Rhinolophus ferrumequinum: one gene and its partners. The protein of the gene in region 1 interacts with the protein of each later gene in a biochemical or structural test. Links are inferred from orthologs where the notes say so. Each region holds a gene or a part of one and is shown in the gene's direction. Other genes may lie near its edges. The genes, in order: KIT, GRB7, TEC and MATK.

Region 1 (7,686 bases):
TACCTTATACCACAAATCAGGGCACCATCCTTGAGTCCCTCTTCCCGCTCATCTTCCCCACTACTGTTAGTGATCAAGGCCTAGTTCTCTCTCATTCATCCTCTCTCACCAATCTCACCTCCACAGACTTAATGCAGTTCACATTCTCCCTTGGTTCACCTCATTAGGCTCCTCACTGGTTTATTTTTGCCTCAAGGTTTGGCCCCTTTCAACTCATCCTTCACTGAGCTTCTCCACTATCTTTCCAAAATGTAAATCTTACCATCTCTGGCCTCATTGTAAAGAACTCTAGTGACTCTCCATAGCTCAGAGGGTGCAGTTCATGATTCTTGGCATGAATGGCCCTTGTTTATCTCGGTCTCCACTCCCGCTCCCCGACAGGCCCCGTTTCCCTAACTGTGCCGGACTCCTCGTGGTTCTTCCTATTCGTCAGTGCTGTTTCATGCCTCTCGCCCTTTGCATGTGTGCTTCCTACCCTTGCGTTCTCTTCCCTGCTTTGCCTTCCTCTCCTCCTGATCCCTCCAATCTAGTTGTCACGTCTTTGAGCGAGCCTCATGAGATCACTGCACAATATGATTTAGGGGCTCCTCTGTGTTTAAACATCACGGTGTGCATAGAGCTCTCTTAAGTACATATAATAATGTAATCTTTGACCCCCTTATGCGTCTCTCTTCTTTCTCTGCAAAACTCATGAGTGCAGCATCTGTATTTTGTTGAACTTCGCATTGCCAGCAATTATTGTAGCACCTCTGGCACATAGGTAATGTTCAATAAATACTGAATGAAAGCTTGAACTGAGAGCATGCTTCATCTTCTTTCAGCCTCACAAACTGTGAGGTGGTTATTGTTAGTATTGAGTCTAGCAATAAGGATCATATATTCATTTATCCCACTTTATGGACAAGTGACAACACCTAGCCAGTTCTAATGGTTATTGGAAAAACAGAAACTATTAAGTAGTAAACTTGAAAAGGATTATACCCTTGGTGTAGTAATTTTACCTCTAGGAATCTATCCTAAGAAAATAATCAGAGGCAAGAGATTTTTATTCACCAAGATATTCATCACCAAGTAATTTGTGTAGGGAAAAAAACCGAAAACAATAGAGAAATGATTAAACATCCAGAATTATGGTACATATATACAACTGAACATTATACTGCCATTATATGTTATTTTTCCAGAAAATTTTTAATGACTGCTTACTCGTATGTTATGATTAATGAAAAAGCTGGATAGAAAACTAGCAAATATTATAAAATCTGAAATTATATAAAGGGAAAAAAAACCTTAGAATACGTAGGAAAAAAATTTGAAAGAAACACACCAAAATGAACTTTTCAGCTAATTATATATTGGGTGATTTTGTTTTGGTTCATTCTTATCATTTTGTGTATTTTCTAAAGTTTTTACCATAAGCATCTTTACTTTTATAATCAGAAATATGAAAAATTTTCAAGTTAGAGGTTTGGGCTGTGTGAGACTAGAGTGAATATCTTTTGTTGTATTTGTCCAGCATCATTCCTCCTTCTTACAGTGACAGTACCTAAATTTTTGGTGAGGACACACCCCTCCTCATTAAGAATGGCCTTGTGATGTGGGTGAAGTGGACCCCAACCCTGGCTCCAGGGGTGCGCATGTGACCCAGCAGAGGCCAATCCTCATATGCCATCTGGCTTCAGTAACTGGTTCCAGATGGTCATGTGACTTAAAATAAGTCAGTACTTTTATAGATGTTCACGAGGGCAGAACAGCTCAATGAGCTGTAAGCCTAGAGCTGCCTGAGTGTTCACAAATACAGGGAAGCAACACAGGAAAGTACTGCTGACGGATGGAGATAGAGAAAAATGCACGTATACACACACACACACACACACACCACCACCACCACCACCACCACCATCACCACCACCACCACCACCACCACCACCACCACCATCACCACCACCACCACCATCACCACCACCACTTTTGAGTCCTTATGACTTTCAGTTTTTGGATCTGGGAAAGTCTGCCTGGACTTTTCAGTTGTAAAAGCCAATAAATTTTAGGTTTCTTTGTTTGCTTAAGTCAATTTAAGCTGGGTTTCTACAACTTGCAGTCAAAAATACAATTATAAATACAATAAAAAATGTAAAGTATAATTCATGAAAGGGTCCAGGGCTATCACAAAATAGAGTACAGAACCGGTCCCATACATCCTGAGATATAAAACATTTCCATCATTGTAAGTATTTCTGTTGGACATGTTCTAAGATATTTCATTCTGAAAACAGTTCATTCCTAGTCTCTTCTAGATGCCTCCTTATAGTACATTAGCTGGCAGGGGGTATGAACCATAAAGGCGCAGAGACTGGAGATCTCTGCTCTGCCCAGTATTAAACCTTTAATTGCTGGATCTGATGAGAAAAAAAAAAAAAAAGAAAGGGGTTGGATTTAGGCAGCATTTAGATATTTAGGGGAGTGGCAGCTTTTTTCCCCAATGAGTGCAGAAGGATTTCAACATTCTACCAATCAATATGGCCAACGTGGTGTGTACTGGCTGCACATGAGCTCTGGTAGAAGATATTATAGTTTCTTATTTGGGTATGTTTTATTCCCCCAGGACTATGAATCCCTCTAGACAGGGACTTTGTCTTAATTGATTTTTTGTAGGTCTTGTGCCTACCTAGGTGCTCAATAGATGTTTGTTGAATGGTGAATATGAATGACGGTCCAGCATTGTAAAATTCCCTATTCTGGTATTTTTCCTAATAGAATTTTCCTGCTTAGAATTAAATTGCAATATGGTCTCTTTTCACCCACTCTTCTGAAGACTTGTTATCCTTTCCAATCTCAGTTGATTGAAGGAGAAAATTGTAAATTTTCTCTAAGGCATATTGTTGGTATTTTAACCCATAGTGATTTTTTCTCACTACAAAATGGATTTTAGAAATAAATCAAGATCCCAGAAACTCATGATTGCTTTGAGTGGTAGCTTTTACCTCTGTCATCCTAAGAAAAAGATACGGTCCAATGGCCCAAAACACAAACAGAGAACTTTGAATTTTAGCTGTACAACTTGAACCATTTGCTAGGATACTGGGGTGTGGTTCTCCCACTTGACTGTAAAGATTGTGGTAGGGCCCACATCTGTCTATTAACAATAGTGCCTCTTTGTTCCCAGTAGACACCTAAATGCTTGTTGAATGAATAAACAAATTTAGACAAGCAATCATACACATTGATCGAGTAGTGACAATTTTTAAGTTGTTTGTTTAGCTTTGAAAATCATTTTTCTTAAACCAGCTTAGGTCCTATATCAACATCAGACAGGAGAGATTTCAATATTAAATAAAGTGTGTGTGTGTGGGGGGGGTAGTTACAAATTTTGGATGCTATTGTAGAGAAGAGTCTAAGTATATCTAAATTATTCCATCACTTTCTGATGGGCAACCCCCCTCTTCCCATTTAGTTTCCATCCTGAAGCTCTCTGAAGGGGTGTTTTACTGTGTTATTAGAATGCATAGGGAAAGCTCATCATACCTCGAATTATTCTTAAAATGACTGGGTCTCCTCTGTTAGCTGTTAGCTATTTCTAAAAGTGATCGAACCACTTTTAGAAATAAAATAATAAACGTATCTGCTCTACCTACCTCACAAAACTGTTATTGTGAGCATGAAATAATATTCAGTGTAAGAAGGAACTATAAAACTCTATACAGATAGTACTGTTACCTTGGGTAAAGCACTTCCTAGGCAGTGGCACCTGGCTTAAGAGAATCATTTTACTATTATTTTGCTCCCTTAGAGCTGCCTTAGCTGTAAGGCAGCTAAGAGGAACCCTCGGATCCCCACCCCTATAACTGTCGTCTGATAGAGAGGCAGAGAAACCATACAGGGAAAGGGGGGAAAAAAAAAAGGCGCCCAAAGGGTTTTAGCACGACTGTGGATCCCGGAGCAAACTTCGCAAGGCGCCCCTCCCCACTCCAAAGCCCCAGTCTCTAGAAGTCTCAGCAGGAGCTTGTTGGGCTGAGGCCACTCTGACGAATAGAAACCAACTGTGCTGTTACAGGTTAGGGAGCAGGTGGAGAAATCGAGCATAAAGAATTACCTACGCCCTGGCTGAGCCTTTTACCGCTGTGCCAGGCGCCGCGCCTGGTCTCCCTCGACTAACAGGAATGGAAAAGAATATCGGGCTCTAATTCCTAACCCCCTTTCCACTGCGCCCCAATTCCTGTCCCGGCACCACGTCCACCACCTGCGGCGTCCAGCCTCTTCCCTCGCGGGCGTGCTCGAGGAGAGAGCGGCGGACCTTTATTATCTGGGGAGCACCTGCCAGGTGGCGGGCCCGTGTCCTAATGTGCGCGTGGTGCCCAGCTTCACAAAGCGCGCGGGCAGCACCACCCTCGTCCGGGAACGGCTTCTGGTAGACCGATCACATCACAGGGGACGAGAGGTGGAGAGGGGCTCCGGTTTTGAAAGCGGGCAGCAAAGGCTGGCACGCCCTCCTTCTCCCCGTGGGTTTAACCCCCACGGGATTACCAGGTCGAAAGAGCAAGGGCCAAACGCCGCAGGGAGGGAGCGAGGGAGGGAGGGGAGGCGAGGAGGGGCGCCGAGAAGGGGCGTGGCCGGCGCTCAGAGGGAGGGCGCTGGGAGGAGGGGCTGCTGCTCCGCGCTCGCGGCTCTGGGGGCTCGGCTTTGCCGCGCTCGGTGCACTTGGGCGAGAGCTGGAACCTGGAACGGAGCTCCGATCCCAGAGCAGCCACCGCGATGAGAGGCGCTCGCGGCGCCTGGGATTTTCTCTGCGTCCTGCTTCTCCTGCTCGGCCTCCAGACAGGTGGGAGAGCGCGGCGGACACCGGGTTCGCGCCCCCTGCCGCTGCCTGTGCCCCTGAGGGCTGCAGCTCTCTGGGGTGTGTCCGGAGAGGTGGCCGCCGGCCCACAGTGCCCCTGCGTTTCAGCCTCCTGGCAGATCGAGGCGTCCCGGGGACTCTCCTGCGCCCAGCCTCGCTCACCTGCGGGAGGATCCCCCAGTCGCTGGTGCTAGGGGCGCTGAGCTGGGGTCTCCCAGGCAAGAGGGCAACGAGTGGGGTTAGGCTTGAGCTAGGTGCAGGCTGAGGGCGCGGGCTGCTTGCAAGTTTGGGGTTGCTTTTGTGCGAAGAGTGCGCAGGGGCAGAGGCGGGCGAGTCCCGGGTTTGCACCCCGAGCGTTATCTCCGCGGTGCGTGGCGCGGCCGCTTCTTCCTTTTGTTAAAAGTTGCGCTTGTGTGACCGGCGCACTGGAGGACTGGCCCGCAGGTTCTCAGTCACGCCGAGGGCAAAGTTGGAGAGCTTTTTTTTTAGCTCTGCGGCTGCTGCTTTCCAACCTGGCGCTCTTTGTGCCCCAGAGCTGGGGACCGACCCACTGCCGCCTCTGCTCGTGGCGCCACCCGTGGACACAAGTCGAAGGCCGCGGCGTCCCCCAGCCCACGGGTTATGCTTTTGCACCGGGTGTCCGCCGAGTGCGATTCTGATGTGGCGGCTGCAGAGGTAACTTGGGCGCCAGGGCGTGTGGAAAGCAGCCGCTAGGTTGCAGACTTTTTGCTTTTGTAAATCTCGTGCTGGAGGCTTATCCTTTTCTGCCGCGGTGCTGTTTCTTTCCTGCCACGCGCCTCGGTGCTGCCGGAGGCTGCGTTTGCAGCCTGTTCTTGGGAGAGACAGGGACGGTGCGTTGGGACACTGAGGTCCCTGACCCCGGCCGTCTGCAGCGCTCAGCCGGAGAGCCCGGCCAGGCTGGCGGGGCTCTGCAAGCCCCTCGAATCGGGGTCTGCGACCTGTAATCGCAGGTCCCTGTTTTCTTTGGGAATTCTGAGATTCACAACACCCCCTTCCACGTGATAGCTATACTTAAGGGCCGCCTGAGATGGAGGTGGGGATGGGGTAGGTGGGAGATGGAGTGGAACTTTCTGCAAATCCTCCTGGGATCTTAAAGCTGTTGTGAAAATCCGGTTATATCTGCGCGGGAACTTAGGTGTTAATGTTGAGGAGGAGGATTTCTGGAAGCCCTCAGTCAGATTCCTTTCCCTTCTTCCCTTTTTTCTGGGTGTTGCTGGTGCGTGAACCATTGCAGGTGGCCCAACCAACCCCTGTACTGCTCTCTCCCAGGTCACTGAAAAAAACCCAAAAAACCTTTAAGGCTACCCTGATGATGGCTAGAAAGTGAGTTTGAACTGGAATTCAGGGGTTCCAAAGGCAGCAAGCATCGCAGTGAACTATAGTGGGACTCTGGACTACCGTTCAGTTTTCCCATGAAGTCTCAAGATGCAGCCTCCGTCTTCCAGGTCTTGTAAGGCATTGTGAGGGCTTTCCTGTGGGGGAAGAGAGGCCTTGCATCTGGACCCCTTTGTGGTAGGAAGGATCACCAGTGAGTGGATTCCGTGATGGATTTGATCGCCTAAGCTTCAAATGATAGGTTTGGTCCTTAGGTCTTTGTGCTGTGGCAGTTTTAATTTCAGTTAAGGTATGTGAACCGGACGCAGTAGGGCACTAGAAAGATAAACCACACAGAATGGTTCTCTTTGTAAAAATTAAATGAATCAGTTGCTTCCTTCTTCCTCATAATTAGCCTGCTCCATCCAATAGATTTTTTGGCAAAGGGAATTTTACCGTCTGGCTTCTGGGGGAGGGAGGCGCAGTATGGTGTAGTGAGAAAGCCTCTGTGCTGCCCTCTGGTTTTTCTTTTCTCAATGATTTATTGGCTGTGTGCCCTTGGGCAGGTCGCTTAAATTCTGGGGGGCCCAGTATCCTCAAGAGGACAGTGAGGCATCTTCATTGTGAAGGATCCTTTGGGTCCAAAATTCTCCTCTTCCAGTGTTCTGAGTGTAGGCTGTACACTTCTTCTGAACTCTTTACCTGATTCCTTTCTACCTCCTTGAAATTCCTCTGCCTCTCCTAGTCACAGGGTCCAACCACTTGGTCATATCCTATTGATCTACCCCCGGCTAAAGCAGGGATGTGTGGCTTGTGCTTTCCTGTCCTCAGTCCACATGTGCTCACCTACAGTTTCACTCTGAGGGCTAGGAGGTACCATCTTGGCAGCAACTCCCCCTCCAGTATTTACAACGCCTGTGCTCAGCTGGATGAACCTGCAGGGAGCAGTGAATCATAACCTTCCCCTTGTTCCTGCAGGTGTGAGGCTAGCGTCATTCCCAGCAGCTGGACACATTCTGGATTATTATCCTGCTGGAAATAATATGATGGTCTTATAAAGGGATCCCAGATAAGTCATTTATCCCCATTCTGGCCTTTCCCACTCATCCACACGTTTGTTCTTACGACTTTATAAATCATGTATGCTGTGCCCTTGCAATATGTTTTTCTAGGCGCCTGAAATTTCACATTATGTGTGTGTTGTACATAGTTGTTGCTCTTTCATTGGAAACTGTGTGCATGGCCCTGTGCTGGGACCATTACCTGACATTTCCCGTTCTCTCAACAAGCATCAGAGGCAGTACTGTCACCATCCCTATCGGTTTTTTTTTTCCCCCTATCGTTTTTATAGCTGGAAGAACTGGCTGAGAACAAGTCAGTTCCCAGAATAATCAGCAGTGAAGCCTGAGGTTGGTCCCATGTGCCCAACTGTATATCTATTGACACGACTTACCAGAATCAGTTGTAAAGTGAGATTCATTTGAAACTATTTAATGAATACCTATTATATGCCAGGC
Region 2 (7,593 bases), on another chromosome or scaffold:
CTGTCTCCCTGTCTCTTCCTGGCTTCCCACCATAGCCCACCATAGCATACTAACAGGTCACCCACTCTACCATTTCTTTAAACCATTCATTGGATTTCTTCAAACCATTCATTGTTTTTCCATTTATTTATTTCCTCTATCTATCTATCTATATTAGTATCAGGAAAACCATTTTTTAAAGATTTTATTGGGGAAGGGGAACAGGACTTTATTGGGGAACATTGTGTACTTCCAGGCCTTTTTTCCAAGTCAAGTTGTTCTTTCAGTCTTAGTTGTGGCGGGCGCAGCTCAGCTCCAGGTCCAGTTGCCAGTTGCTAGTTGCAGGGGGCGGAGCCCACCATCCCTTGCAGGACTGAGGAATGGAACTGGCAACCTTGTGGTTGAGAGCCCACTGGCCCATGTGGGAATCGAACCGGCAGCCTTCAGAGTCAGGAGCACAGAGCTCCAACTGCCTGAGCCACTGGGCCGGCCCAGGAAAACCATTTTGTAAGCAATGATTTATAGAGTTGTACAACCATCACTACAATCCAGTTACAGAACATTTCCATCAAGCTCAAGAGGTCCCTCCAGCCTGTTGGCAGTCAATTCATCTCTCAGATCCAGCCACTGATCTGCTTTCTGTCTATAAATTTGCCTTTTCTGGACATCTCGTATATCAGATAGAATGATACAATATGTGGTCTTTTGCTTCTGGCTTCTTTCATTCAGTGTAGTTTTTGAGATTCAACCATGCTGTAGTATTACCAGTAGTTTGTTACTTTTTTGTAGCTGACTAGTATCCCATTGTATGGATATGCCACCTTTTGTTTATTCAATACCGATGAATAGACATTTGAATTTCCAGTTTTTGGCTATTTTGAATAATGGTGCTATGGACGTTCATGTAAGTACATACAAAGAGTATGTACATGTGTGTCCACGTTTCTTAGGTAGATTCCTAGGAGTAGAATTGCTGGGTTGAATGGTTAGTTTATGTTCAACTTTTTAAGAAACTGCCAAACTGTTTTAAAAAGTGGCTGTACCATTTTACATTCCCGATAGCAAAATATATGAGAATTTGTTTCCCCATATCTTTGTCAACACTTGTTGCCTATCTCTTTGATTATAGCCATCCTGGTAGGTGTGAGGTGGTATATCATTGTGGCTTTAGTTTGCATTTTTCTAATGACTAATGATGTTGAGCATCTTTTTATGTGCTTACTAGCCATTCATGTATCTTATCTGGAAAAATATATATTCAAGTATTTTGCCCATTTTTTTTTTTTAAGATTTTATTGGGGAAGAGGAACAGGACTTTATTGGGGGAACAGTGTGTACTTCCAGGCCTGTTTTTCCAAGTCAAGTTGTTGTCCTTTCAATCTTAGTTGTGGAGGGTGCCGTTCAGCTTCAAGTTGTTGTCCTTTCAGTCTTAGTTGTGGAGGGTGCAGCTCAGCTCCAGGTCCAGTTGCCATTGCTAGTTGCAGGGGGCGCAGCCCACCATCCCATGCAGGAGTCAAGGAGTTGAACTGGCAACCTTGTGGTTGAGAGCCCACTGGCCCATGTGGGAATCGAACCGGCAGCCTTCGGAGTTAGGAGCATGGAGCTCCAACCACCTGAGCCACCGGGCTGGCCCTATTTTGCCCATTTTTAATTGGGTTGTCTATTACTGATTCGTAAGCATTTTTTATTCTAAATTCAAAGTCCCTAACTGGATAGATGACTTGTAAATATTTACTCCCAATGTTTGACAAGTTTCTTGTTTTAATTTTCTTAGTTATATCTTTTTTTTTTTAACTTTTATTTATTTAAGCCTGTTTTTCCAGGACCCGTCAGCTCCAAGTCAAGTAGTTGTTTCAATCTAATTGTGGAGGGCGCAACTCACAGTGGCCCATGTGGGGATTAAACCGGCAACCCTGTTGTTAAGAGCTCACGCTCCAACCAACTGAGCTAACTAGCTGCTCCAGTAATGTCTTTTGGAAGGCAAAAAATTTTAGTTTTGATGAAGTTTAATTGACCAATTTTTTTCTTTTGTCACCTGCACTTTTGCTGTATGTGAGATACAAGATCATAAAGATTTTCTCCATTGGTTTCTTCTAGAAGTTTTATAGTTTCAGCTCTTATGTTTAGGTCTATGATCTATTTTGAATTAATTTTCATACATGGTGTCAGGTAAGGATCTATATTCATCTTTAGGCATGTGGATATTCATTCGTCCCATAACCGTTTATTGAAAAGATTATCCTTTTACCCTGAATTGTCTTGGCATCTTTGTCAAAAATCAATTGACCAGAAATGTAAGGTTTTATATTTGGACTCTTGATTCTGTTCCATTGATCCATACATCTATTTTTTGTTTCTTTCTTTCTTTTTTTTTATTGGGGAAGGGGAACAGGACTTTGTTGGGGAACAGTGTGTACTTCCAGGCCTTTTTTCCAAGTCAAGTTTTTGTCCTTTCAATCTTAGTTGTGGAGGGCGCAGCTCAGCTCCAGGTCCAGTTGCTGTTGCTAGTTGCAGGGGGTGCAGCCCACCATCCCTTGCGGGAGTCAAACCTGCAACCTTGTGGTTGAGAGGACGCGCTCCAACCAACTGAGCCATTTGGGAGCTCAGCAGCAGCTCAGCTCAAGGTGCCATGTTCAATCTTAGTTGCAGGGGGCGGAGCCCACCATCCCTTGCAGGACTCGAAGAATTGAACTGGCAACCTTGTGGTTGAGAGCCCACTGGCCCATGTGGGAATCGAACCGGCAGCCTTCGGAGTTAGGAGCATGGAACTCTAACCGCCTGAGCCACCGGGCCGGCTCTGTTTCTTTTTTTTAATTAAAAAAATTCAGATACAATTTATACACAGTAAAATTCACCCTCTTGAGTGTACCTTTCTGTGAGTTCTGACTCACAGTTGTATATCCACCACCAACACCAAGATACATAACAGTCCATTACTTCCTACAGGTCCCTGTGACCCTCTCCCTCCACCCCACCCCAACCCCAGATCTGCTTGTTTTAGTTTCACCCCCTCCAGAAAGCCTTAATGGAATCCTACAGCACTCAGTCCTCTGGCTTCCCTTTCTAAACTATCCTTCAACATCCAGAGTGATCTTTCCAAAATAAAGATCTGCCTGTTCCTCTGTGCCTCTATTTAAGCCCAGGTAGACCCTGCAGGGTCTGGCCTCTGCCCACACATAGTTCCTGCTGGTCTGGACAGACAGGATGGATGGCTCTTAAACCTGGTTCACAGAACAACCACCTGAGGGCTTGTCAATACCACACATTCCTGGGTCTTGGCCCCAGAAACAGATTCAGAGGTAGGGAGGGGAACCTGGATCTGTTTTTCATACAAGCCTAGGGAGATGTAGAGGCAGGTGGTCACCGGCTACACTTTGAGAAACACAGCTGAGTCCAAAGCACTTGCCTTTCCCCACACCTTCCACAGCCACTTCCCTGCCCCAGACAGCTTCCCCTCTGCTCAAATGTCACCTCAAGGGAGAAGTCTTCTTTAACTCCCTGGGTGAGTCATTCTCCCAGCATCGTTTGTCACCTGTTGTTTCTTATTATTTGTATAATTCTTTGATTAGCATCAGTCTCCCGACTGGGCCACAGGAGGACAAGGGCGCGGCCTGTGTTTGTTGCTTACCACTGGATCCCCAGTACCAAGCATGGGTTTGGCCTAGAATAGATTCTTAACAAATATTAGTTGAATGAAGGAATGACTGAGTGAACTGTCTACTGTGCTTTGCATAAGCTACTCCATGGCCCAGGTGACCTACCCCCTCCCCCACTTCTTTGCTTAGTCCACTCACACTGGTTTTTCGGAGAAAATGTAGTTTGGAGAAAGTGGAGGCTGGAGCCACTTTTCATGGTCTCCCAGGGCAGACCTCTTATCACCCTATGGGTTGTTTTGTTTACCCAACTGTCACCCACTTCAGGCTGGGAGGTGGCCTCTGCCTTTGATCTCAGCCTCCCAGGTCCTCCCCTCCACACCCCAGTGTTTGCCTAGTGCAAAAGGAGAGAGCCAAAGTGAGCGCTCTAGGGGAGTACCCTGGCACCTGGCCAGAGCTTTCCCTACCAAGAGACCATGACTTACCCCTTCAATTTCAGGAGAAGCTAAGCCCCTGCATTTTGCTCAGAAGGGAGGACATACCCTCCGTGCCTCAAAGGAGCCAGGATGCAGCCCGGGGGGCCAGGCTGTGGCTGGAGGTCAAGAGGCAGGCCGAGTTGCCGGACACTCCTCTGATTGGCGGCCCCCTTTTGTCGAGCGCCCTTTGCCCCAGGGGGTGGGACCCAGAGCAGGCCCCCAGCTTTGGCCAATGAACACTCCAGGTTTGGGGGGTGGGGGCAAGGGGAAAAGTGGGCGGGGCCGTTTCCTCTCACCTCGTCCCCCAGTCCCTCCCTCCCAGGCTGTGAGGTCTTAGCTCTTGAGGCTATTCAGTTCGACTGTCTCCGCCTCTCCCCTGGCACCTGCTGCCAGGCTAAGAAGGGTAAAAACAATCCCAGCCGGCGTACAGTTTCAGGGAGTCCCCGCCCAGCCTAAGCTTCCTCCTCCCATGCCGCTCCTCCAGGCCCCACCCCCACCTGCCCAAGATAATTTTAGTTTCCTTGCGCCAGGAGCCGGTACACACTGGGCTCACCCTCCCCCCCGCCCTCACTTCTACATCCAAAGGCGGGACACCCTCCTACCACCTGTACAGAAGAGGGAGCGGATTTGAAATCAAGTCCAGGTGTCTAGGGTCCCTAGACTGTGCCGATCTTCGGACTCTGTGTCCTGCTACTCCTGCTGAGGTTTTTACAGGTAAGGGGGCAGAGATCAGTCCCAGACGACAACCTGCACCCCGCCCCCCAGCCGCACCGGGGCCCCAGGCTGTGCCCGTCTCAGGGCCAGGAGCTGGCTGGCTGCCCAGGTGAGCGGCCGGGCGGCCAACTGGCTCCCTCTCCTGTTCCCCCCTCAGTGATGTCAGGCCAAGGGCGGGGGCAGGAGGGGGACAGGTAGTTAAGGGCTTGGCGTCTCCCTCCCCAAATCGGAGGCCCCAGCCAGGTGTCACCAACGCCCCGGGTCCAGGTAAGGACCAAAGCGGGCATTTCATCTTGGGAGGGTGGGGAGCACCGTCAGGACCGGGGACAATATGGGAAGATTCGGCCTCCTGCTGTGTTACTCCGGCGGCCTCTCTTTCTGTTTTCCTCTAGCCCCCCATCCCTCCCCTTCCTCACCGTCTGCCCTCAGCCTTTCCCTATCCTCATTTCCTGTCCTCTCCAACCGTTCCTTCCCTCTCTGTACCCAACCTTCTCCCCCCGCCCCCCGGATCAACTAGCACATGGGGACGGGGAAGTTCGATGTCAGATTCTCTACTCCGGGAGACGCGGCTTTCCCGCTGAAACTAGCCCCTCCCCACCCCCATTCTCAGAAGGCGAGCTAGGAGGGGGGTCCGAATATCGAGGAAGCTGCCCCGGAGTCACTCCCTAGCTCAGCCTGATTTTTACCTCAGTTTAAGTTTCCCCAAGTCTTTTACTAAAGACCGACATCTCTGCGACGGGAGGGAGGGTCTCGTTTGGAGGGCAGTTAAAGAGGGATTCTCTACGTTGCTAGAGCTTCGTCTCTCCGGATTGTACCTGTGTTCAGGAACACAGGGTCCTGCCCTCGAATGGGAGAATGGGGGCGGGGAAGGTCCAGGGTCCCTCCTGGCTTCAGAACAAAGTGGGCTGGAAAGGCTGGAGACCTGGCTGCTGGGGTGGTCAGCCGCACAGCGCGGCCTGGGGAGAGTGTGTGTGCGTGTTGGGGGGTCGGGGGGGAGGCAGATGGTCTCGTCTGTTTGAATAGGCCGGAGAAAGACCCAGGTCCCAGTCTGGGTCTCCCTGGCTCGTTGAGGATGGAGAATGCACCTGTCCGTGGTTGAAAGGTGTCCTAACCCCACTGCCACTCAAGAATGCCCCCTCTTGGTCTGCCTTTCATGGACTCTGCTCTCCCCTTCACCCCTGATACCCCCCGGGGGGGCCCTCCGCGAAGGCAAGCAGCCAGTAATGATTAACTCCACAGACACTCTAGCATTCTTACCAAATTAAACTTTAAAAGAGCTGCCCCCCCTTCTCCCATTGGGCGTTTCTTTTCTGAGCAAGGGAGTAGGCGGGGCCTCAAGGTCCAGGGCCCTCCCCCCAACTCCGGGTCACAGAGGGGTTCCCCGCCTCCTCACCTGGGCCCTGCACCATAAGAGCTCCCCCAAAAGTTGAGCCTTCCCCGCTACAATCAATCGCGATGGGGGCGGGGCATGAAGTTCTGGGCTAGACCCGGTCTTCCCTCCACGTCCAGGGCCCCAGCCCAGGCCTCTGTCCTGCTAGCCCCTCCCCCCACCCTGGGAAGCACCGAACGTGGCCTTGTTTTCTGTCGGCCTTAAACACTGGGCCTTGCCACCCGCCCTTGGGGCCAGCCAGGTGGGGCAAGATTCAGGAAGTAAACAAGGAGGCAGGAGGCAGGAGGCAGGCAGGGAGGGAAGGAGGGTGGGGCCGGAGCCGCCGGGGCAGGAGAGGCGGTGGGGAAAGCCGCTGCTTGGACTTGCAGTGTTTAGGGGACAGATTGATTCTGGGGTTTGGCTTCAGCAGAAGCGAATTTCCTAAGGCCCCAGTTTGAAAGCTTTAGCTCTCTTGGGAAGGAGGCTTGTCCAGGCCCCACAGCTGGGACCCCAGTTCTCCTATTTCATCTCTTTGGTCCTGATTGTGCCACTCTTCTCTTTGCCTCAGAAGGGTCTGGAAGAGGCGGGGTGGAGGGATCTGAAGACCAAACCCAAGTTTGAGGCCATACTAATCTGATTTAAATCTGCCCTCTCCCCTTCCAAACACTGCCCTGATTCCTCTTCCATCTGGGATGGGGGAGGACCCAGACTCCTCCCCGACCCCCCCCCCTCGCCTCTGGCTTCCAAGAGGGGTAGCCTCTGCAAACCCTCTCCCTAGTCCTCCTCGTGGAAGCGTTGTGTTCTGGTGGTGATGTACTGGTGTCTATCAGGATCAATGGTGGGAATATCTTCCCCTTTCCCAGTAGGATACTGAGCCCCTTCCTTTGCTCTCCCTCCTGGACCTTTCCTTGTCTGCTTGTCTGTCCTCCTGGGTGTCTTGACTTTCTGCTCCTGCTCCTGGGGTCCACCTCTTGCCAGGACACTAGGAGAATGTGTAGGAGGGCCTTCATCCCCCGTGAGCTGGCTGAGTCCTGGGTACTAGGGCCGGGCAGCAGCAGCAGAATGAAAGCCTGGGAGGCCCCATATAGTAGAGGGAGCAATGCAAGCTTTCTTTGGGTGAGTGAGGGACGCCCCTGGGAGGATGGCTCCACTACCGATGGGCCTCTAAATCCAGGCCTGATTTTTCTTCTCTCTTGTCCGGACTGGGGTGCTCCTGGGTTGGGTGGTGGTGACTGGACTGGGGACAGATTGCAGGTCCCACCTGGACTGGAGATGTGGAGGTAGGCCGAGGGTGAGGAGGAAGAGATGATGTCAGAGGAGCCTCAGGCCCTGTATCCTCCTCCCTTGCTCCTCCTCATCCCCTGTTGTGTTCCTTGCCCTGTGCCTTCCCTATTCCTCCCAGGCTGGAAGGTTGGGGGCGGGAGTGGAGGCGGTGTGTAGAGGCAGGGTTGTTTGTGTTTCT
Region 3 (7,037 bases), about 8.7 Mb from region 1:
GTAAAAGTAAATAAGAACTGTACCTACTTCACACATTGAGTATTAGATGAATTAATCTAATGCATTTGAGACAGAGCCTGGCACATAGGAACACCCTAATAACTGTTAATCATAGTTCTGATTTTCAACACAACGAGTTTCTTCCCACATAATTTTTACTTGATTGCAATCACAGGACATATAAAGCATTGTGTTCTACTTTTTTTCACATAGTGTTCGCAAGTTTTTCTCCATATTTCTATTTTATTAACATAAAAACTATTTTTGACAGCCTGACATTCCAAACTATTGACATATTTTGCTTAAACATTTCCCTGTTATTGGACATTTAATTATATTTTATTATTATTAGTGATGAACTTATAAACATCTTTGTATATGATGCTTTTTCTTTCTTTTGAATGATTTATTTGGCAACTTTTCCCAGGAGTATAATTTTTGATTTTGTGTCCAAGATTTAAAACTTTTTCTTCAATGTAGTTCCAAAAAAGCAACTACTTTCAATACATGATGAAAAGAAAGGCAGGCTTATCATACTACTGAAATGAAGTCATCTTTATGTAGGAACAGACTCTCTATAAAAAACTGATAAGGTCTGTATTATCTGTATGTTGTCATCATTCATTCATTCAACAAACATTAGAAACATCACCTAGAATGGGCCAGGCCCCTTTTGGATAGGAAGAAAGTTACAAAAAGAAGCCAGAGATTTACAAAGCAAAGAGTGTGAGAAGCTCCAAATACAAACACCACTTTATCTACAAACCTTTCTGGTTGATTCTGTGTATCGTCTTATGCATAATGTGGAATTTAAATGCAAGGTAAAAAGAGGCATTTTCTTCTCTCAAGGAACTGAAATTATGTCAGTCTGATATTGTTCACTTAAACATACAAATTTTATAGAAGCCACGGGAATATCTTGTAAGAAGGGAGCCCCTGTCTCTAATGCCTTTTTTTCTGTATCTTGATTTTATTAAAGAAAGCAATAATAATATTGTTTGAATTTTCTCCTTGGAGAAGAGGGAGAAATCTTTCTAAGTCCACCCCCAGATTCTTTCTTTTGATGGGTACCCAATAGAAAAGTTTGAGTTACATAGGCCTAAACTTTATACTCTTGTTTCCTATTAAAGCTACTGAACTTTCCACATAAGAAATAATAAAGGGTGAACTATTTTTTTTAGCCTACCACATCCTGAGTTCAGTTTTACACCTTTCATTGATGTAGTTGAAATTCTCTAATAGAATTACTTGAAATTCTCTTTCCTTCTTTTCAACAACATCCCGTTGAGAACAATTGTCAGTACTCTTCATTACATTGTTTGGGGATGACACACCTGTGAAAACCACCTACTGAAGCTGTTTGATTAATAATGTAATGAATGCTTCCTTCAGGAAACAGTATAATGTTTTGCAAACTACCCTGGTTATCACTGATACCAAATTATATTTATCTGGGTGTTTTTGTTTACGGGTCAGTCCTCGCTGGTTTTCTTGAGAACTGAGAGGGACAATATAGACATTTTCCTCTCTTTTAATTTTAAACTTTATGAAGGATTTGCTTTGCTTTCAGTCAAACTTCATAAACTTGGAGAGCCTCATTACCATTAAGTCAGAAATATGAGCCACCAGAGTCACCTAGCTAGCGTAGGCAAAGTGAGTTAGAAATCAATTCTAATCACGACATCAGTTAAACCCTTAAGACAGTTCTTTTTGGGATCATTCAATTTTATATAAACTTTTATATATATAAAAGTTTCTTTCTAAAAGTTTTTATATTTCTTTCTAAAAGTTTTTATATTTCTAAAAGTTTTATATATATAAAAGTTTATATATATATATATATATATATCCAAAAAATGTATACACATTTTAAGAAAGGAAAAAAATGTATTAAAATTGTAATACAGTGAATGACGCTGGCATTCATTTGATTAATGCCATCTTTTGAGCAAACATCATACTACACATTGCTATCATAATTCAATTCAACTTCGAAAAGTAATACATAGATAACATCTCTTAAAATGTGTACATTTTTTGGAACCCCTTGTGTGTGTATATATATATATATATATATATATATATATACACACACATACATATATGTGTGCATGTGTGTATGTGTGTGTATATATATGTATATATATATATGAATTTTTCTTGGGAGAAAACTGACTTTATTACCATAATTACATAACTATAACACACTCTTCACACACACACACACACACACACACACACACACAATCTCAGAAGATTCCCGACCTCTGCTCTTTCAAAGAACACCTGCCCTTGAGGAAATTATGTCAATCAGTCAACTTGAGTATCTGACTGGGCTAAAAGGCAGGAGAGACTGGGCCTGGGAGGAGACAGTATATCACAAAAGAGAAATTTTACTAGATTCATTCTGAGGACAGGTCACATTATGTTCAGGGTCCTCACCGGAGTGAAAGAAGATTTGGAGTTAGAAGGCCTTGGTTCAAATCCGTGCCCTCTTCGCATACCCCTGCTTTTTTTTTTTTTTTTTTAAATTTTATTGGGGAATCTTGGGGAACAGTGTGTTACTCCAGGGTCCATCAGCTCCAAGTCGTTGTCCTTCAATCTAGTTGTGGAGGGCGCAGCTCAGCTCCAAGTCCAGTCGCCATTTTCAATCTTTAGTTGCAGGGATCGCAGCCCACCATCCCATGTGGGAATTGAACCGGCAAACTTGTTGTTGAGAGCTTGCGCTCTAACCAACTGAGCCATCCCGCCGGCCCTCCAGCAGATCAGCGGCAGCTCATTGTTTTCAATCTAGTTGTGGAGGGTGCAGCTCACTGGCCCATGTGGGAATTGAACCGGCAACCCTGTTGTTCAGAGCTCGCACTCTAACCACCTGAGCCACCTGGCCGCAAACCCCTGCTTTTTCTAATTAAGTAAGTCATTAAACTTCTGTACCCTTAGATTTCTTTTTTCTATAAAATGGAATTTTGTCAGATTTCTTCTCAGGTTTATTGCATGATTAAAGGAGAGCCTATAGGAAGGTATATTTTTAAGTCCCAAACAGGCATGAAGTATGATAACTATTAGTGCACTTGCCATTCCTTTCATCTTCATGTTGACTGCCCAGGTTCTGTCATTCAGCTCTCAGCTCCACGGTCACTTCCTCAGAGAGGCCTCCAGGACCACCAGATCTAAAGTGGCCTCCCCCTTCACTCTCAATTCTATCACTCAGCTTCATTTTAGTCAAGACACTTCCCACATATGCAATCGTTTTCTTTTTACTTGCTTATTGATTACTTACTGTCTTTCTCCCTACACTAGAATAGAACTCCTTGAGGGCAGAGCCCTGTTTTGTATTCCCTAAGCCTGGAAGAGTTCATGGGACATGGTAGACACTCAGATTTTAGAGTCAGGATAGCAGTGGTTAAGGGTGCGGACTCTGGAGATTATTTAACTCTCCTCTACGCCTCCCTTTTACCACATGTAAAAATGAGGGATTCTGATAACAAATACGTACTTTATAGAATGGTAATATATGTGAAGTATGTAGAACAGTGCTTGGCACAGTGTCAGTTTTATATAAGTACTGATTTCTACTCTTCAATGAGTTTGACAGAAGTGTTAATACATGAACATGAGTGCAGGTGGCCCTCTAAGTGTGTCAGATATCCTCCGCGGCCTCAGGTGTGACAGTGAAGACTTACTCTTTTGGTAAAGCTCGTCGCTTCGCTCCACTGCCCTGTCATCCGCCTGGCCCCCCACCGCTTAGCGGAAGAGGAGGTGTGGTCCCTAATTCCGACAGAGTAACCAGTAACCCACAGGTGGCACCGCTCTGGGTGCTCCCAGGCCAGGGATGTACGAGCTCTCGCGGGGCGGTTCTCCGGGACAGGAAGCCCGGGACTAGGGAGTCCCTGCGTGTCGTTCGGGAACACAGGGGACACTTTTGCGACTTCCCCGGAACTCAGGCCTCGGGTCTCAAAACCGTGGCAGGGCGGTGGGAGCCGATCGCCGCCCGCGGTAGGGAGCGGGGGCGGAGCGACCGGGGGACGGGGCGGGGCGGGATGGTCGCGGGCGGGGCTGAGAGGCCCGGAGCTCCGGACTCCGCCGCGCCCGCCAGACCTCGCATTCTCTCCGGCTCCGCGCAGCCTGCGCTCTCCTGCCAGGTAAGGGCGCCGTGGGCCCTCGGGGGCACCCCGGGGACTGCAGGACTTCGGGCGAGGAAGGGTCGGGACGGGGATGCGTGCGGTGAGAGGTGGCTTCCACGTGCTTCGAGACTAACCAAGACTGACCATCGTGGAACGAGGAGGGATTTCCCCACCTCCGCGCCGCGGTGAGCGTGACGCGCCACGCCAGTGCGGGATCCTGTCCTCTTCGGTCCAGGAAGAAGGCGCAGGTAGGGCCGTTTCGGCGGCCGCCGCCCCTCCGCCTCCGGGGCTCCGGCGCTGGTCTCTCCCGAGGAGCGTCCGCCCCTTTCTCCCGGGGTCCCGGGGCCGAGGCAGCTTCGCGGCAAGTTCAGGGCTGGGTTCGCTTCCCAGCAGCGTGGCTGGGTAGATTCCTCCTCTCTGCTGGGGCGGCAGCGCAGGCTTGATTGAAAGTTGGCAGAAGCGACGCAGGTATTCCACAGTTGCCCGGGTCCGAGTGCCTCACCCCACCAACTTCACACTTTTTTCTTTCTTTTAGTCTGGGAAATTGTAGTTAAATCTTGAAAACAGGGGTTCAGGGAGTATATCATTAAAACTAGGGCCTTGATCGACCCAGGAGTATTCACTTTAACTCCTAAATTCAGGTTTGGAAACAGTCTCATCCACTGCCATTCGTTGGAAACTGGCATATTTGATGAGAAGTGTAGATCTCGGTGTTAATTGGATGGCTGGAGGCTAAGTGGGTTTGAAGGTTATCCAAAATAGTTACTTTTTGAGCATATACCCTGCATTTTCCCCAGTGAGTGCCTATTTTTCCTTTTAGGAAATTCTGAGAATTAACTCTCTTCCAGATGATTCTCCCCTAAAGAGCTGGGGAGGAAAAATCAACCCCTACAAACAAGTGGGTTTCCAAAATAAGTTCAAGATTTGTCAGGTTAATTTGTGACACTAGTAGCTCCTTAGTCAGGAAGAATCTCATGCAGTACGGAATGTTATGATTTATATGGAGAAAAGAAGTGTGTAATTTTCTCATTAAGTATTTGAAACTAGTTTTTAGTTTAGTGACATTTTCACGTGTCTAGGAAAGACCTATACTTTCCCCATGCTCCAGTTCATCTGATCAATATATTACTACACTTGCCAAGTCATGATGCTTATTGCAGTGGGTTTGTGTTAATGATCTGGAGTCTTCTCACAAGGATGTGTACATTTTGGTTTGTGGAACTGTGTAAGGCAAGTGAAACTGTAAGGCAAGTGTTACACACATGCAAATCAGTACTGTGTTCTAGTCAGCAATACCTTTGCCGCAAGTAGGTCCTTGAACTAAAATTTTCACATCTCAAATAGGAAAGAATATAGAATATTAATGTATGCTCTAGCACTTTTAACTTGATGTTTCCCTTATTCTGTATCAAGAATAAGAATGTTTTTTTCAGCAGCTAGTTACTGAAGGGCCGGGACTCTGCTTTGTCATCTTATGGTAAAGCTCAGAGAATCGTGACTTTTGCTTCCTGAAGTTGGCCCTTGACAGGGTGGTTGGAGGGATTGTGGGTGGTGTCTGGCCACTTTTATGCTTGGGGAAGAATTGTTGGTCTCCCTGCCTTCCTTTGAGTATTCAGAGTGCTAGGAGCCTGGGCCTTGGGCCTCTGAGCCTGCAGGTTTCTCCAGGTTGACCTAGTTGGTGCCTCCTCTCTCTGGCCCAGCTCTTTCAGCTCCTTCTCCATCCTTCCTATCCCTTCCACCCCACTCCATCCATCCCAGATTCCCACCCCTAGGGAGAATCACCTTTTTGTTCAGGGCAGGGTGACTTGGTCCACATAGTTGATAGGCGAGTTGATCCTCAGCCTGGTGCTGGGTTTGCTAAGGATGCTCAGTAAATATCTGTTGATGACAGTGTCACTTGTTTCAGATCCCTTACTATGCTCTCCTCTTATCCAGTCTTCATAGGCAAATTGAGTAACCCAGGTTGAACCCAGATCAACCGCTTTGGGGGCCAGCTGCCTTGGTTGGTTTAGGGTCATAAATTGGGCATTCAGACCTGTGAGAAAGGAGTAAAATTGGTCCATGGTCACTGGCAATAGGAAAATTACCCTGTACCATGTGATTATGCCATAAGAATAGCTTTGTTGGAAAGAAGCCCAGAAGAGAGGGGCTTAATTGTTGCCTCATCTTCAAACTTGCCTCCATCTGGTCTTGTCTTTTTGTTTCTGCCCTAGTTCAACCAGTCCTTCCATCGATTGGATTATAACTATTAACTTTCCCAACTCATTTGATATCTCAGAACTCACAGCTCTGATGACCACAGCTACTGTGGTCTAGATGTGGAAAGTTACATTTTCTTGTGTTTAGAGGAAACAGGATGGAATTTTTCCAAACAAATTGTTGTTAGGGAAACAAAGAAAAAGCAAATAAATGTAAAAATGTGTGGGCACAGAAGCCAATGAGTTTTTGTTGTTGTTGTTGTTTTGTTCTGTGTTTTAGTTTTAAAGTGTTATCCTGGTTACATTTCTTTCTCTCTTAAGAAACAACCACTCATAATTCTTTGAATTGGTTATTTTGTTACTTATTGCTTGTAGTTGATACTTCTTGAGCTTTTAGTTTGAAACACTATCTGTTCACTTCCCACAACACAAGTCATGAAGATGACTGGCAGATGACGTGGACGACAGTGACTTGGCTGTCTTTTTTTCCCTCTAATCCCCAACACAACCACAGCTTCCTTATTTTCCCATCCTTATAATCGTTAAACAGTAATTTTGGTTAAATCAGTATTCATAGCTAAGCCAAGCACAACTTTTTGTTTTCCGTGGAGTTAGTAATTGTTTTGTTTGTTCATTTGCCTAGTTTTTCATGTACTCATCATTACTTCAACCCAAAACCCTTGGCCAACTTTTTATATTGCTCCTCAGATGCCTC
Region 4 (7,164 bases), on another chromosome or scaffold:
TTTACGCACAGTGAACCTGCAAGCGTGGCAGGGAAATGATATGCCTGGCTCCACCTGCAGTACAAGGAAGAACAGGCGAGGGATGTGGGGGGAGAGCAGACAGCCTCCCCCATTAACGGCAGATCACCCCTGGCACCCCAAAGCAGGTCGCTTGGAGGAGCCCTTGTTCCCCAAGTCAAGAATGATGCAGCCGACCACAGCTCTGGTTGCAAGATGAGCGATGCAGCATTTTTCCTCGAAAGAGCAGAGTGTTCCTCCGCTGAATCCCTGAGTCCCCTGGCAGGGAAGAGAAAGCTAAATTTAAAGGTGTGCTAATTGGGGCAGTCTGATCTGGCCACTGGCTCCTCTGGGGCCATGGTGCCAGCGCAGCCATCCCCACATCTGGCTGCAGCTGCCCTGTCTTGCCTGCCCTCCAGATCCAGAAATTTCAATTATGGGCACATTCTCTGGTGGTCTGTCATGTGCCCACCACTATGCCGTGCACCAGCATGTGGGCCCTGGAGCTGGATGGGCCTGGGTTCAAAGCCCAGCCCACCACTTCCTGTGTCATAGGGTGAGCCTCAGCACTCTCTGAGCCTCAGCTTTGCCATCTGTGAAATGGGTACAATGAGAGTGCTTGCCTCACAGGTGACAGGCACTGCTCATTCCCTCTCCCCTCCCCAATATTCACTGGCTTAAAAAAATACTTTCTGAATACTACTGTGTGCCAGGAACTGACCACAGCTGTGAACGACACTGTCCAAAATCCCTGCCCTGGGGAGTTGATGTTCTAGAAAGGACACAGCCAGTAAACAAGATAAACAAGTAAAACATATGGTCAGTCAGACCATGGTAGCTCCACAGAGCTACAGGAAAGAGAATGTAACATGTCAGAAGGTTGAAATATTCTGTAGGGTTGCTATAATGTTGGTTATGTCTGGGGAAGTGTCCCAGGCAGAAGGCACAGCTAACGCAAAGGCCATGAGGTGGGAGCAAACCTGGAAGCTTTGAGAAAGAGGATGCCAGTGCTCCTGCCTCCCCCTCTTGGCCCTTTTGGGTCCTTTCAGGGCATAGGAGTGAGGTCTTGCTCTGAGGAGGGTATGGATGTCTGAGAAGGTTTCATAAAAATGGTGCCAGTTTTCATGGACATGGAGGATGAGCTGGGGTAAAGACTACATTTCCCAGATTCCTCTGCTCCTGGGGTTTCACTGGAAGAGTCCTTAAATGAAGAAATGTACCCTTTTCTGCCAACTTCCTGCTTCCTATTGACTGGAATGCAATAGGTGAGAGGGCTGGAGCTCAAGCAGCCATCTTAGATCAAGAGAATGAAGTTTGAGTGTGGACAAAGGCAGAGCAACAAGATAGCAGGAGCCTGGGCCCCTGACATACACAGGATTTCCTCCCTCAAAGAGCATTAATTTCTACCTAGTAATTCAAGCCTCTAACACTTGGGGTCTTCCATCCCCCACAGCCAATCCTAATTTTAACTGATGCATTATGTAAAGTGCCTGTCACATGACTTCTTTTGTTTATTGCCTATAATGATTTTCGTCCATATTTGTAAAGAATAAGAAATATATCCTGCCTTTGAAAAGTCTACAACTCCATTGGGTGTGTCTGCAGGCCTGACTTCTAGCCCCAGTGTTACCATGGGCAAGTAGCCTTGCCTCTCTGGGTCTCAGCTGCTCCAATTCTAAAATGAGAGGATGGGTCCCCAAAATCTCCAGGAGTTTGAAGAACAGAGGGTTATGCAAATCACAACAGTCAAAATAGAACAGTGAGATGCGAAGAACAGTGAGATTCGGATGAACAAAAGAAAGGCATTCAGGCAGGGGACAAGGTGGGTTCATCAGGGTTTCTCTGTTGCAAGTGACAGAAGACAGCACCACCTGATCCAGGGCATGAAAGGGAAGAGATTCCTCTTCTTAGCTGGGTTTAGGGCAACCTAATCTGACTCACCAATTCCACATCATAGAGATTTAATTTCAGCACCCCACTCTGGTCCCATTTTCAGTATTAGGAATTCTTTTGGTTACAAGTGGCAGTAACCTCCTGAAAGCAACCAAAAAGCAAAGAACTGCTTCCAATGCTAGGCATAGCGTGACCTCCAGACATGGCTGAATCCAACGATTTGAATTCTTCCTGTGGTATTCAGTCTGTTTCCTGGCTCTGCTTCCTCTGGGCTGGCTTTTTCTCAGGCAGGCTAATGGTCTCAGTTCCCAAGGCCAGATCCGTGCCCATCGGTGAAATGAGATGGCTAGTGTCTCTAGCTAGGGGTCCTTTCAGGACATAGAAGTTAGACTTGCTCTGAGAAGGGTAAAGGTGTCTGAAGAAGGCTTCATAAAAATGATGTCGGTTCAGCTGGGCGTGAAGGATGAGCTGGAGATGCCATCTGGATGGGAGAAGCACATTCCGGCAGAGGGGACAGCCCATGCGAAACCATGCTAACTCCTGCAGTTCAGAGTTGCCAAACTATTGGGTGCTTGGTGGGAGCAGAAGCAACTGAGGCCAGGGAGGCCAGGGAGGGGCCAGATATGAAGAGCCCTGAATGCCAGACTGAGTGTTTTAGGCTCTGTCCTGCAGGCAGTGGGAGCTATAGCAGGATTTAGAGCAGGAGAGGGCCACAGTCACATTTTCATCCCTTGATGATGCAGTGGAAGATGAATGGTAACAAGGAGAAAAACTGGAGGCAGTTGGGAGACCAGAAAGGGGGCTGCTCTATCACCAGCCTGCACCAGATGGGTGTCCAGGGGTTGGGGGTGGGTGGGTCAAAGAATTTCCAGACTCAAGTTGACAGGACTGAAATGTGGAGGGTGAAGAGCCCAGGACTGGGGAATTCTGGTATCCGACCCGATGGTGTGGCTACCAACTGGCTTCAGGCAGGTAGAAGGGAGAGGCACGTCCTTCAGCTCCTAGCAGGAGGCAGGAAAACGGGTGTTGCATCACTGGGGACTGGAAGACCCATTGAGTCTTTGTGATTCAAAGTGCCAATTATTGGATGCCTCTAGGATTGGGGAGCTCACCCCTTCTGTAGCTCTGACCCAAATTAACCATGGACTCAAATCTATCCCCCTAAAGTCATGCACAGCTCAATGCCCCATGCCCACACCCATGGGGGGCGGGCTCCCTGTTCCCCAGGCCAACCCTTGGAGATTCGGGCACCTAACACCTTCTCCTTAAATCTGTCAGTCCTCAGTCTCAACACCTTTGCTTCCTCTGATCACTCAGAGGTAGGGCCTTCCAGAATGTGGGACATGGACCCCTGGGCATCCTGGGGAGGATGTAGGTGTTACTCAGACCCTAAGTACCTATTCGCAGAGGGAGAAAGCCAGCCCCTTCTGACCCTCTTCCCTTCTCTCTGACTACGTCAAGGAGAACATCTCCACGGGGTGCTAGGGCATCTCAACCTCTTAGACATGGGCTCCTGTCCTTGCTGAACAAAGAAGGCAGGTCTCCACTGTGGGGCCTGGGGCCATAGCAGTCCCTGCTGAGCATTTAATGGTGCTGTCTGTGGGTTTCCTCTGTGGCTATTTTCACTCTGGGTTTCTATTTCTGGAAAGTGATGATGGCTTGCTATATATGGTAGGCCCCCATCACCCTGACTGAATGCTGGCTGCAGGGTCCCAACCCTAGGACCAGAGCAGTGCCCAGTGGCTGGGAAGCAGGGCTCTCTGGGCATCTTGACTCAGAGCCCTCCAAGGTCAGCTCCACCCTTGTCCGAGCAGACTCTGCCGTTAGAAGCAATGGAGTCATGGCTGGAGGCCAGGCCCAGTGCGTGGCCATTCAGTGCTCATCCAGCTGTCCTCTGAGGGGACGCCCGTGTTGCCCAGCCCTTCAGAGGAGGAAAGGGAGGTCAAGAGTGGGGCAGTACTGCCTCTGGCACAGCTGGGTTGGCTCCCGCCTCAGGACCCACCATTATTCTCCAAAGGAGGGTTGCTCCGCCAGGAGGCTTCCAGTTCCACACGATTTTTTCCCTTGTGGCCCCAATTTTCCTTTAACGATAATGATGACGATACTGGCAGCGGTTGACATTTTGGGGGAGTTTTCTTTGTGCCAGGCATCAACAGCTCTCTACAGCAACAGGTAATTAAATGAGGTCCCGTTGGCAGAGGAGGTGACAGGGCGTTGGAAAGGCAGAGTCCGAAGGGCCCATTTTGTCGTCTGGGCTCTGCCGCCTGCTTATCTCCCCGACCGGCAGCTCATTCACTCCACTCCGCGCGCGCGCGCGGTGTGCCACCTGCTCCACACTCCAAGGCCTCCGCTTGTCCGGATGAGCTGGGGTGCGCGCCCCTCAGCACCAGGCCAGGGAGAGGCGTGGAGCCGGTGAGAGTCTCCAGCGCCCCCCGCGCCGCGCGGGAGGTGCCGGGGACCGCGGAGGCAGGGCGGGGAGGGGCCCGCGGCGGCGCGCAGAGCAGACCGCAGTGCGGCCGGCGCTAGGACCCGCGGGATCCTCCCTGGCCGCGGCACCTCCCGCTCCCCGGCCACCCTACCTCTCCTCCACCCCCAAAATGAGGAAACGGAGGAACTTGCACCAAGTTGTGCAGCGGGGCCCGCCTTGGGGGTGCGCAGCTGGCACGCGGGGGCCCTCCTGGGGGCGGGGGCGGGGCGCGGCCCGGGGACGCCCCCTGAGCAGGTGAGCGCGGTGACGGGATTGGGGGTAGAGACCGCAGGGGCAGTGGAAGCGAACCAGAGGGCTCCATGGGGACCCGGGCGTTCGCGGGAGGGGCCGGTGTGCGCTCGAGTGTGCACGTCCGGGGCGCGCGACGGGTACGCTGCTGAGGTGGGGGTGGTTACAGGCAATCAAGCGCGGGGTGGGGAGTAGTCTGGGTGGGGGTGTGCGCGTCTGCGAGCCCCCAGGTGTGTGTATCAGCGCGTCCACGTGGAGGCATGTGCGCGTGTGGCGGAGATGCGTGTGCGCGGCCCTGTGTGTAGCTCTGCGTGCCTGGGTGGCCCAGCGTTTGGTGCCCAGGTGTTCAAGTATGGGTCTGTGTGTGTTAGTGGGTGGGCAGATGCACACGTTTCCAGATGTCCCAGCACCTGCGCATGTGTACACACATGTAGAGGCGTGTGCACACCTGTCTCTAGGGGGGCATGCCTTTGCTTACACACCTGGGTGCCTGTGGGTACCTGTGTCCACCTGTGTCCAAGCCCTGTGTGTTTCTGTATGTGCTTGTGTGTACATGGATCAGTATAGGTGTGAGTACACGTAGGGCTGAAGATTTATGGGGGTGCACATTGGAGGAACCAAGATTCACCCCGCAACTTGCCCCACTGTCCAGCCACTTGCGGTAGGGTAGATGGGGGTGGCAAGGGGTGGAAAAGTCCCCAACCAAGCAGCAATGAAGGAGTGTGTGTGTCAGTCCTGGGTTGGGGTGGGGGAGTCAGAGAGGTTTGGCTGGTGGCCAGAGGAGCCCAGCAGGGCTCCACAGCCTCCGCCCCACCTCTGGGTCAGAGTTCCTTGGGAATGACCTTGAATCATTCTGTATTTGTCTGCCCTGTTCCTGCCCACTCACCAGAAAAGAGGAAGAACCAGGGTCGATTAGGTGGCACCAAGCTCCCCATGTGCTGTGTGGGCTGCTGGGGCCTGAGCTAGGTACCTGTCCCCTCCCCAGCCTGTGGCCACTAGCTCTGTGCCCACCTTATGCCTCAGTTTCCCTTTGGGAACCATGGTGGGGCGAGGCTCCACGGTTTCCTTGCTGGTGTTTCATGGCTGTGACTCTGCTAAGGAACTCCCCTGGGTAAAGGCCACCTTCCCAAATGGCCTTCGGGAAGCTATACCTGAGCCCCTCTGCCCCTGGCTGTCCCTCCGACCCGGCTTGGGCTGGAATTGGTAGTGATGGGGTGAATCTGGGCTCTCCAGCTGGTCTCTGCCTCCTCCCCAGGTGAGCCCTCGCTTCCTCTGTGCCTGGCACTCCTCCACCCATCTTAGCCAGGATGCCCACGGTGAGTACCTCGACCTGGGTGCCTGTGGCCTCGGCCCTTCCTCAGCTCAGTCCACGCCCACAGGACCTCAGCTCCACAGGGAGGAGGACTGTACTCTGACCCTTGTCCCTGTAGCTGCTGTCTCCCAGGCTTTCTGTTATTTGGTGTTGCATTTCTTTCACCTTTTCTTCCTGACCTGTACTGAGCACCTGGTGTTTGAGACTCTAATAAATCTCTGTTGGCAGCTCCCTTGTCCTTTCTCCTCCTCTCGCTCTTTCTTTCTGTTTTTTGTTCTGTCTCGGTCCAATCTTTCTCTCTCCGGGGCATCTCCCTCATGTCCCCTTTGCCCCTCTCCCTCACCCCCTCACCCAGAGGCGCTGGGCCCCAGGTACCCAATGCATCACCAAGTGTGAGCACATGCGCCCCAAGCCTGGAGAGCTGGCCTTTCGCAAGGGTGACGTGGTCACCATCCTGGAGGCTTGTGAGGTGAGCAGTAGCCAGAGGGCCTGGGTGTGTTTGGGGACAGGACCCCCACACACACACAAACACACACATACGGACCCCTGGCTCCCTCCCTGGCAGAGCAAGAGCTGGTACCGCGCCAAGCACCACAGCAGCGGGCAGGAGGGGCTGCTGGCAGCCGGCGCACTCCGGGAGCGTGAGGCCCTCTCCACTGACCCCAAGCTCAGCCTCATGCCGTGAGTTGTGGGGCGTCCTGGAATGGGGGGGCCAGGAGGGCCTGGCCAGCCCAGTCCAGCCTGCCCTTCTGCCCCCACAGGTGGTTCCATGGGAAGATCTCAGGCCAGGAGGCGGTGCAGCTGCTGCAGCCGCCTGAGGATGGACTGTTTCTGGTGCGCGAGTCAGTGCGACATCCAGGTGACTACGTGCTGTGCGTGAGCTTCGGCCGAGATGTCATCCACTATCGCGTGCTGCACCGCGATGGCCACCTGACCATTGACGAGGCCGTCTGCTTCTGCAACCTCATGGATATGGTGGAGGTGCGCCCCAGAACCCAGAGACGCATGCTCCCCAGTGCAGAGAAGCAGCTGGTCCCCATGGACCACCAACTCTCTAGGGGGTCTGAGTCCTCTAGGTCCCACCTCCAAGGACTGGGGTGGCTCCTTCAGGGACCTTCAGGAACCTCCAAGTTGACACCAATCCAGAGACCTCCCCATCTTCCCTGTTTCCCCCCTAGCCTCCATACTTTCTTGTTTCCATGCAAACCAGCCCAACACATCCTGTGAGACCCAAACCCCTCTCCTT

Evidence for each region.
Region 2: the proteins of KIT (region 1) and GRB7 form a complex in vitro, tested with the Homo sapiens proteins (3 studies listed by BioGRID and IntAct, with this or other methods). The link is inferred for Rhinolophus ferrumequinum from reciprocal best matches to the Homo sapiens genes KIT and GRB7.
Region 3: the proteins of KIT (region 1) and TEC form a complex in vitro, tested with the Homo sapiens proteins (2 studies listed by BioGRID and IntAct, with this or other methods). The link is inferred for Rhinolophus ferrumequinum from reciprocal best matches to the Homo sapiens genes KIT and TEC.
Region 4: the proteins of KIT (region 1) and MATK form a complex in vitro, tested with the Homo sapiens proteins (2 studies listed by BioGRID). The link is inferred for Rhinolophus ferrumequinum from reciprocal best matches to the Homo sapiens genes KIT and MATK.

Annotation. Positions count from the first base shown.
Region 1 is NC_046288.1:16,906,037-16,913,722, forward strand, and holds the start of KIT (mast/stem cell growth factor receptor Kit), read left to right. Parts: upstream 1-4,667; 5' UTR 4,668-4,752; coding exon 4,753-4,819; intron 4,820-5,254; exon of another isoform or gene 5,255-5,509; intron 5,510-7,686. UniProt on the Homo sapiens protein: Tyrosine-protein kinase that acts as a cell-surface receptor for the cytokine KITLG/SCF and plays an essential role in the regulation of cell survival and proliferation, hematopoiesis, stem cell maintenance, gametogenesis, mast cell development, migration and function, and in melanogenesis.
Region 2 is NC_046304.1:36,331,454-36,339,046, forward strand, and holds the start of GRB7 (growth factor receptor-bound protein 7), read left to right. Parts: upstream 1-4,586; 5' UTR 4,587-4,762; intron 4,763-4,848; exon of another isoform or gene 4,849-4,871; intron 4,872-4,882; exon of another isoform or gene 4,883-5,029; intron 5,030-7,593. UniProt on the Homo sapiens protein: Adapter protein that interacts with the cytoplasmic domain of numerous receptor kinases and modulates down-stream signaling. Promotes activation of down-stream protein kinases, including STAT3, AKT1, MAPK1 and/or MAPK3. Promotes activation of HRAS.
Region 3 is NC_046288.1:8,156,356-8,163,392, forward strand, and holds the start of TEC (tyrosine-protein kinase Tec), read left to right. Parts: upstream 1-4,021; 5' UTR 4,022-4,040; coding exon 4,041-4,142; intron 4,143-4,572; exon of another isoform or gene 4,573-4,592; intron 4,593-7,037.
Region 4 is NC_046301.1:59,688,774-59,695,937, forward strand, and holds the start of MATK (megakaryocyte-associated tyrosine-protein kinase), read left to right. Parts: upstream 1-4,161; 5' UTR 4,162-4,302; intron 4,303-4,404; exon of another isoform or gene 4,405-4,612; intron 4,613-4,663; exon of another isoform or gene 4,664-4,746; intron 4,747-5,861; 5' UTR 5,862-5,913; coding exon 5,914-5,922; intron 5,923-6,273; coding exon 6,274-6,387; intron 6,388-6,483; coding exon 6,484-6,599; intron 6,600-6,679; coding exon 6,680-6,899; intron 6,900-7,164.